Linked DNA regions of Coturnix japonica. The protein of the gene in region 1 binds, or shares a complex with, the protein of each later gene. Links are inferred from orthologs where the notes say so. Each region holds a gene or a part of one and is shown in the gene's direction. Other genes may lie near its edges.

Region 1 (4,327 bases):
GCAGTGAGGCCACAGCACAGGCAGAAAAGCAGGAAGATGGAACAGAATTTCCTATCTATGAAAGAGAGAAAGGAGAAAAGCAAGAGCGCCTCTGCCCCAGGCCAGAGGCCGAAGAGAGGCGACCTCCTCTCCCAGAAGGGTCAGTACCACGGACAGCTCACCTGATGTCGGGCTCAGGACCACGGACAGCTCCCCCAGCCGCCCCATAGGGCCCCATAGCGCTTCTACTCCACAGCTCGGCCCCCTTCCTCCGTGATCCCCCATACACAACACCGCATACCCCTCCGCAGCCCCCAAATGAAGGCAGCTCCAGAGCCCGACAGCACACTCATTTCATCACGTATTCACTCCAGTGTCCCCCCACTCATCCTCACTGCACACACATCCCCCGCACTGCATGCATCCCTGCTGCCCCACTTCACAGCCCTCTGTCCAGGTGACACGCTGCAATTGCAGATCCCCGTAACCCCTGACCATGAGTCTGACCCCTCTCTCTGGGTGTCCCTGTGCACTTACACCACCTGTGTCCCTCCAGCACGCACACCTCTGAGCCCTCCCTATGTACCACATTGCACGCGTGCCCCACAGCCTGCTTATTGTCAAGCATAACCACCGAACACACATCTCCATGTCCCATTATGCCAACACCCCACTGCCATCTCCCATCACACATGAATATGCCCCATTGTGCTCACACGTCCTGCCCCACTGCCCACGCACCCTATACTCAGTTGCATGGTGTAATGTGGGGTACCCCACACATCAACGTGCCCTGCTGCACACTGACCCCACATCTCGCTGCACACACATCCCGCACCCCATCACACACACTGTCATCCCACGGCGGGCAGATGCTGCGGACGGTCTGCGCTCCATCCTCACCCCATTAATACAAGCACACACCTCCCCCCTTCCTCACCCCCATCCCCCACGCAGCGCTCAGCTCCCCGACCCCCTCGGCCCCTCGACACTCACCGGCGGGCGGCGGCGGCCATAGGAGGAGGAGGAGGAGGAGGGGCAGGAGCAGCAGGGGCAGGCGGAGGAGGGGTATCGGTGTGAGCGGCCGCCCCCGCCCGCCGCCCCGCCGCCCCATCCCACCGCGCCGGCTGCCGAGGGGCGCGCGGCTCCAGCAGCCCCGCCGCGCAGGGGCGACCATGACGTCATCCGTCCCGCCCCCTTTCTCCCTCCCCAATTTTCCTATTGGCGGTTCTGCTTGTCACTCACAACCGGCGCGGCCCCGCTTTCTGCTCGCCATGATACCTCCCACACGCTAGGGGGCGCTGTCGCACTCTAGGCCTCGCCCTTCCCGGTCATCCAACTTCCTACCGCGTCGGGACCGCGTGCGCAGCACTTCCGGTCCGGATCCGGTACCGGGCTCACCATTACCGCCCCCGGTACCGCCCATGGAGTTCCCGGGCGTGCTCTTCCCTTCTTACTTCGGATCCGGCCCCACCAGGGACGAGGGGCGTCCGGCTCCGGCCGCTGGATGGGGGGAGCGGGAAGAGGTGCTGCAGGCCGGGCCTGGACGGCGGCAGGTGAGGAGTAACGGGGGAACGGGATGGGGGAGGCCTGGGGGGCAATGAGTGAGGGGGCAGTGAGGGTATTGAGGGCACTGAGGGGGCTCTGAGGGCACTGAGGGGGCTCTGAGGGCACTGAGGGGGCTCTGAGGAGGCTCTGTGGGCACTGAGGGGGCTCTGTGGGCACTGAGGGGGCTCTGAGGGCACTGAGGGGGCTCTGAGGGTACTGAGGTGGCTCTGAGGGCACTGAGGGGGCTCTGTGGGCACTGAGGGGGCTCTGTGGGCACTGAGGGGGCTCTGTGGGCACTGAGGGGGCTCTGAGGGTACTGAGGGGGCTCTGAGGGTACTGAGGGGGCACTGACCCTCACCTCCATTCCCCGCTGTCCCTGCAGGTGCTGCCGCCGTTCGTGCCCCTCCGCAGCCACGAGGGGGAGAGCTGGACGCCGGCTGAGCCCGCGGCGGTGCCGCTGCTGCCGCCCAACGTGGGTGAGGATTGAGGGGGCACAGGGGGGGCTGAGAATGGGGCTGCCACCTGGTGCTGGGACGCACTCGGCAGCCCCCCCCCCCCCCCCCCCCCCCCCCCCCCCCCCCCCCCCCCCCCCCCCCCCCCCCCCCCCCCCCCCGCCGCCCCCTGCCCCCTCACAGGCTGCTCGGTCCCCAGTGTGACCGCTCAGGATATTCTCTACCACGGTGTCCTGCATAGAAAGCTGCAGACTGGGAAGTCTGGGGCTGCGCTGGACTTTGCCAAGCAGGTACAGGGCTTGGGTGCTGCTGAGGAGACAGGGCTGAGCTCCACCATGACATCACTGCACAGCCCCACACTGCTGTCCCCACGCAGCTAGGGCACTTCTTTGTGGATCATCCTGAGGACGCCTTCAGCTCCCTGGGGCAGCTGCTGCACAACAACTTCCACCTGGGAGACTACAGCCTCGGGGTCAGTGTCCTTGGTGATGCTGAGGGGGGCACTGGTGTACCCCCTCCTTTCTGTTCATAGTGGCACTTCTCTCCTCCCTGCAGAAAGGCAGTGCCAAGGACACAACCATCCGTATGACATCCATGGTGAAGAAGATCAACAATATGGAAGCCAGGCGGTGAGTGCTGCTGGGTTGGGAGGGCGGTGGGCTCCGACACCTACCTGGCACTGATTGTCCCCTCACAGTGGCTGCCCTCGGCATCCGTATGCCAACCACCTGCGCTTGTTCTCTCACCTGTGCCGGGACTGGCTCTTTGAGGTGCCACTGGGACTGCTGGCCGACTGCGTGCATGAAGAGCTGCTGCTACAGTGGACCAGACTGCTCTTCGATGACAGTTCCACAGGGGGAGCACTAGCCTGGCTGCCCCCTCAGGATGCAAGCAGTGACATGGGATGCCTGGTGTACCCTGGCGGGTTGGCCATGAACCACCTCTGTATCCTTTCCTATGATACTTGGGGGACTCTGGGACAGGGGAGCACTGTGTGGCAGTGCCCTTAGCCTGCACTCCAGATTTCCAGAATGTGGTGCTGGAGGAGCAGCCGCGGGCCCAGGGGTTGCCAGTGCAGTTTGAGCTCAACGGGCGCATCCGGCAAGTAGCTGCTGCCCGGGTGGATGGGCAGGGTGAGTAAGCCCTGGGACATGTGCACTGCATACAGAGATAGTGGCATCCCTGCTCTCTCATCTGCCCTCTCTCCTGTCTCCTACTAGACTTTGTTGGCGTTCGCTCTGACTATTACTGTGGTGTCTGGAGGATGTCAGGCAAGACAGGGGCTGCCCCCAGCTCACTGCAGGTCATCCACACTGATGTGCCAGCTTCCTGCCTCACCGTCAGGTGTGTGGTGGGAATACAGAGCTCTGGGAAGGTCCTCAGCTACAAGCCTTCCAATGTAACGCCATGTCTCTGCCCCACAGCCCACACCTGCCTGGGGAGCTGTCAGTCTGTACGCAGAGTGGAGCTGTCTATCTATGGAACATAGAGACAGGGTGAGTTGGGGCTCTGATCCCCAGTGTTTGGTGCTGCAGGAGGCAGGGGTGCCCCACAGCAAGGAAGAGCTCTGTCCTTTTCCCTACAGGCTGCAGCGGCTCCGCCATGACCCCCAGACCTTGTTTTTCCGGGACCACTCACCCTGGCGCTGGAGTGACTTCACTGCTCACCCGCGGGTGCTGAGCTGTGCTGACCGCACTGGCATCCTGTGCCTGGATACTCGGGTGAGCATGAGAACGGGGTTCAGGGTGGGCTGTGGGGTGACCTATGTCAGCCCCATGGTGCTGACAGCACCCTGTTATGCCACTGCAGGCCCCCACTAGATGCCACTTCAACTTCTTCAAGGTGGGTGAGGAAGCCAAGTGCCAGAAGGGTGAACGCGTGGTACTGCCCATGTACCTGGGTAGGGCTCACCCCTGCCAGTACCTCGTTGCCACCCAGGTGAGTCCTCCATGGCTCAGTGTCCCCAGACCTCCCCACCCACCTCGTGCATCTGGTTTGGATGCAGGTGGGGGGCACCCTGCTGAGTTTTGCCCCCTTTCAGTTTGCCGTGTACTTGCTGGACGAGCGTTTGCCGCTGGTGCCTGTGCTGAAATGGGCACACATGATGAAATTCCCCCCTCTGTTCGCTGATGTTGTGCCGGGAGAGTCTGGAAGGAGTCATAAAGTGCTGCTGGGCACCTCTCATACTCAGGAGCTGCTGTTGCTGCAGTACACAGGTGAGAAACCAGGTAGGGGAACGCAGATTCCCCTCATGTCCACATCCTGATCATGCTGCCTCACCAGCTCATTGTTGACATGTCTTACTGCAGGGGGCAGCCAGATGGCCTGCCAGCTCGCAGGGCCACCAC
Region 2 (4,284 bases), on another chromosome or scaffold:
ATGTAAGTGACAGCACAGCCCCAGACTGAACTCTGCTACACATGGTAATGGGCAAACCAGTCTGAGCTCTAAAGTTTCACCCTTGTTTACAAGCTAGAAAATTACACAGTGATCTCTTCTTACAAAGGATTGTGCAAGTTCCTGTCACCTATTGTCCCCCTGGGCAGCAGGCAGAACTCTGTGAGCATTTGCAGCAGGCGCTCCCTCAGAGATCTCCCTTTAAAGCATCTTTGAAGACAGAAAGCATGAAGAATAATTAAGGATATTCCCTAAAGGTGCTGAGGGGTTAGACATAAGGGAAAGAGAAGAACTGGACAGCATGATTTATTTATCTGTGATGTTTGCTTACTTACGCCTTGCCTGTGGCCTGAATTTCTCTCGGATGTAGGCATCTCCTGCTCGGCAGACCTCAGCAGGCCGAAGATGGGGTTTAGCTGGCAGCTTGCTTGGCTGATGGCACGGTGGGGAGGAAGCAGGAGGCGCGAGCACTTGTTCTTGGCTGGAGGTAGGGTGGCATTGGAGGGGCAGAGAATCTCCCCCTGGAGAACAAACCCAACATATTGATGTCAGATGCAGAGGAGTCTGGGCAAGTGGCCCCAGCCTACCACCAGCAGAAGGTCATAAAACCATAAAATGGCTTAAGTTGGAAAGGACCTCAAAGACCACCCTGTTCCAACCTCCTGCCATTGGTAGGGCTTCCATCCACCAGGTCAAGCTGCTCAACTTGGCTTTGGGCACCTCCAGAGGTGGGGCACCCACAGCTTCTCTGGGCAGCCTGTGCCAGCACCTCACCACCCTCTCAGTGAAAAATTTCTCCCTAATATCTAACCTAAATTTCCCCTCTTTTAGTTTAAAGCCATTCCCCCTTGTCCTGTCACCATTACGCAGTGTAAAAAGTCCATCTCCATCCTTGTAAGCTTCCCTCAAGTACTAGAAGGCCGCAGTGCAAGCAGCAGAGAGCGTTCAGCACAGTGCTGGGGAAGGAGTGCCAGGTGGGAAGCACTCACGCCTCAAACAGTCCATCAGGAATCGCCTCTGGAAACTCGTCAGCTTCGACTCCTCCATCAGGGCTAAAAAACAACAGCTACGTGTTACTACACAGCACAGTGGGCTGCCCCGGCCCCGCAGAGCCCAGGACACGGCCCAGGACAGGACCCAGGACAGGATCCAGGACAGAGCCCAGCACAGGGCCCAGCACAGGACCCAGGACAGGGCCCACAACCGCCTTCCCCGAGTCCCCGCGGCCTTCCATCCCTCATAACCCGTTACCTCTCAGCACCTCTCGTGTCTCGGGGCTGTACCGGGCTCTGCCTCTTCCCGCTGGCCTCGTTCCCGTCGATAAGGCCATGGCTGGTGGCGACGGTGGGAGAACAATTAGGGACAGCGGGGCAGGCGGAGCCGCGTCCTGTCTCTGTGGCAACGGCGCCGCCGGTTTACTTCCGGAAACGTGACGTCACGGCGCACGACCGGAAGTGGGTAGTACTTCCGCCGGGGAGCGAGGAAACAAGATGTCGGACAACGAGGACAAGTGAGAGTGGGGCTGAGGCTGAGGCTGAGGCTGAGGCTGAGGCTGAGGCTGAGGCTGAGGCTGAGGCTGAGGCTGAGGCTGAGGCTGAGGCTGAGGCTGAGGCTGAGGGCTGAGGGCTGAGGGCTGAGGGCTGAGGGCTGAGGGCTGAGGGCTGAGGGCTGAGGGCTGAGGCTGAGGGCTGAGGGCTGAGGCTGGGGGCTGGGATCAGAGATCAAAGCCTGGACTTAGAGACGGTCCAGCGCTAAGTCCGAGTCCAGGCGCTGTCTCCCGGCCTGTGTGCGATGTGTGCTTGCCTGTCTCTCACAGCTTCGATGGGGATGACTTCGATGATGTGGAGGAAGACGAGGGGCTGGATGACCTGGAGAACGTGGAGGAGGTGGGTGCTCTGCGGGGCTCCGATCATGGATCATTCCGGGTCATGGAGTCAGCCCGTAACGGTGCTGTGTCGTGCTGTGCTTTACCCAGGAGGGACAGGAGAACGTGGAGATCCTCCCCTCCGGAGAGCGCCAGGCAGCGAACCAGAAGCGAATCACCACCCCCTACATGACCAAGTATGAGAGAGCCAGAGTGCTGGGCACACGTGCCCTCCAGATCGCGTGAGTATTAGCTGGATCCCTGCTGTAGGACTGTGTGCTTCTCATGGCTTGACCTGTTAAAGCTCCTTCCTTTCTCCCTAAAGCCTTAAGTGATTCTTTACCTGGCGGTTCCGCTTGGGAATCGCCATCTCCATCAACAGTGAAAAGCAATAAAAAGCAATACTGTGAGCTGTCAGCCACACGTGAGTTCTGAATCTCACCCCAGCTGATGCTGTGGGTCACAAGCAGATGGAGTGGGTAACGTGGCATTCTGGTTCTGCTTTCTGCCTTCTATAAGGCAGCCAGCATGAGCTGGGAAACTCAGAACTACTACTGCAAAGTTCAGCTTTGAGGAAGCTGAATAAAAGTAATAAAGTAATATCATTAATTATTATCACAAGGCTATCAGAACTCTAGGAATGGCACAGCTGTCTTGAAATACTAAGCATACGGTTATATTGTGGCACACTGTATGTTCACTAACTATTTGGAATAGTGGAGCATCACTTCTAATAGGTAATAACATTTAAATCCTCTTTTAAGCACTCCTTAAGACAAGTTCCTCTCAAATTCTTCCTTTTATCTGTCCAGATCTGTTTTAGTAATGCCTGCTAAAACCTTTGTGATCTTTGAGAAACTGCTGTGTAAGTGAGATGATTAGGCTGTGTTGAAATTGGTCTGAAAGGAATCTTAGCTACATCCACCCTGAAAATGAAGCTGATTCGATTACCACCAATGAGCTTCTATGTGATCTTTGCTTAATCATCACTTTGCTGAGCTATTCTTCGCCTGGTTATCACTCCAGGAAGGAATTCTGTGCATGTTGTTTCAACTGGTGGCAGGCCAGAAGGATGGAAGAGATGGGATGAGCCAGTGCCAGGCATTTAATACAAAACACTGGTGCCTGGTCTCTATCACCTCCGTATTCTGTTGACTATTGATGTTGACTCTAGGCCAGCAGCAGCCCCCCAGTGGCTTTACCCACACATAATGTGAACTTCTGTTGCTTCTGCTGCCACCTGAGACAGTTGTCAACTGTGTTTGCTTTACTGTTACAGCCCTCACCAAAACGCATTTGTTTTTTTGCTCTAGAGATAGAGTGCATTATAAATCTAGCCCTTTGTTTTCCTTTGAAGGAAGCCTTGAAGATTCAAGCAAGTCAGATTCCCATTTTATAGTGTTCCAACTCTATTATTTTTAATTTTAGATCTGCCCTTATTCTTCACATATAAGTACAGCACAGTGAGACTAGACAGGTGTGGTTCTGACCAGCACTCAAGTCCCAGCTGACTTGCAGAGGATGAGGGGTGGATTAAGAGCATTCAAATGAAAACTCAATCCGTAGCCACTTGGGGATAACCTTTGTCCCAGAGTGGATAAGAGTGCAGCATGCAGTCATATGTTGGCCCTTCTGTCTTTCTGTACATTCTCTGAAATGGCTGTTGCTGTTTGTCCCAGGATGTGTGCACCCGTGATGGTGGAGCTGGAAGGAGAGACAGACCCCTTGCTGATTGCCATGAAAGAACTCAAGTAAGTCCCAGCCTTAGGCAGTGTATGTATTGTTTTCTACAAAGCAAGCTATCCTCTGCTTATCTCAGCACTTTACAACTTATTCCATGCAGTATATTCTAAGACAACCTTCTTTTTTTATCAACCACGGTGAGTTCTGCAGTTTCCTTCCACTTTTCCTCCTTGGACCTTCTCCACAGCTTCTCCCATCCTAGGAGTTCTTGCTGATGATGAGCAGTGCTCTGACCTCTTTTTATATAAGAGTCATTTCTATGATGAGAACCAAAGATCCCCATAAGGAATCAGTTTAATTCTCTGAAAGGAATTAATTTGAAGCAGCCTTCTGAACAGACCTGTGCTCAGATGAATTGCTGACTTAAATAAACAAAACTGGGGTCAGGGTGGTGATGTGGAGACTCTGGTCAGAATGTTGTTTCACTGCACCCTTCTATACTTGGCTTATTGTGCTGGCAGGAGACGCACCTCTTGCATACAGAGAGATTGATTTGAACCTTTTCTGGCAGTTTCTGGATCACTGCTTAGAGGCCCACAGCAGAGTGCCCTGGTGGCACACAGTTTGCCAGTGTAGAAAGCAGGTTACTATGTTGCATGCAGGTAATCTTCAAGCAGAGTAACTGGATTCCTTTACATACTGGGTTCTCAAATTGATTT

Evidence for each region.
Region 2: TAF1C (region 1) and POLR2F share a complex: the UniProt entries of both Homo sapiens proteins name them as parts of the pol I pre-initiation complex. The link is inferred for Coturnix japonica from reciprocal best matches to the Homo sapiens genes TAF1C and POLR2F.

What each region holds. Positions count from the first base shown.
Region 1 is NC_029547.1:8,327,259-8,331,585, forward strand, and holds the start of TAF1C (TATA box-binding protein-associated factor RNA polymerase I subunit C), read left to right. Parts: upstream 1-1,311; 5' UTR 1,312-1,403; coding exon 1,404-1,535; intron 1,536-1,909; coding exon 1,910-2,003; intron 2,004-2,162; coding exon 2,163-2,269; intron 2,270-2,355; coding exon 2,356-2,451; intron 2,452-2,534; coding exon 2,535-2,608; intron 2,609-2,676; coding exon 2,677-2,924; intron 2,925-3,001; coding exon 3,002-3,112; intron 3,113-3,199; coding exon 3,200-3,323; intron 3,324-3,403; coding exon 3,404-3,475; intron 3,476-3,564; coding exon 3,565-3,700; intron 3,701-3,788; coding exon 3,789-3,917; intron 3,918-4,020; coding exon 4,021-4,195; intron 4,196-4,288; coding exon 4,289-4,327. Other genes in the region: TMEM8B (transmembrane protein 8B), read right to left, coding at 976-1,156. UniProt on the Homo sapiens protein: Component of the transcription factor SL1/TIF-IB complex, which is involved in the assembly of the PIC (pre-initiation complex) during RNA polymerase I-dependent transcription.
Region 2 is NC_029516.1:46,598,817-46,603,100, reverse strand, and holds the start of POLR2F (DNA-directed RNA polymerases I, II, and III subunit RPABC2), read left to right. Parts: upstream 1-1,411; 5' UTR 1,412-1,508; coding exon 1,509-1,528; intron 1,529-1,834; coding exon 1,835-1,904; intron 1,905-1,993; coding exon 1,994-2,124; intron 2,125-3,561; coding exon 3,562-3,633; intron 3,634-4,284. Other genes in the region: C1H22orf23 (UPF0193 protein EVG1), read right to left, coding at 354-539, 1,008-1,070, 1,270-1,348. UniProt on the Homo sapiens protein: DNA-dependent RNA polymerase catalyzes the transcription of DNA into RNA using the four ribonucleoside triphosphates as substrates.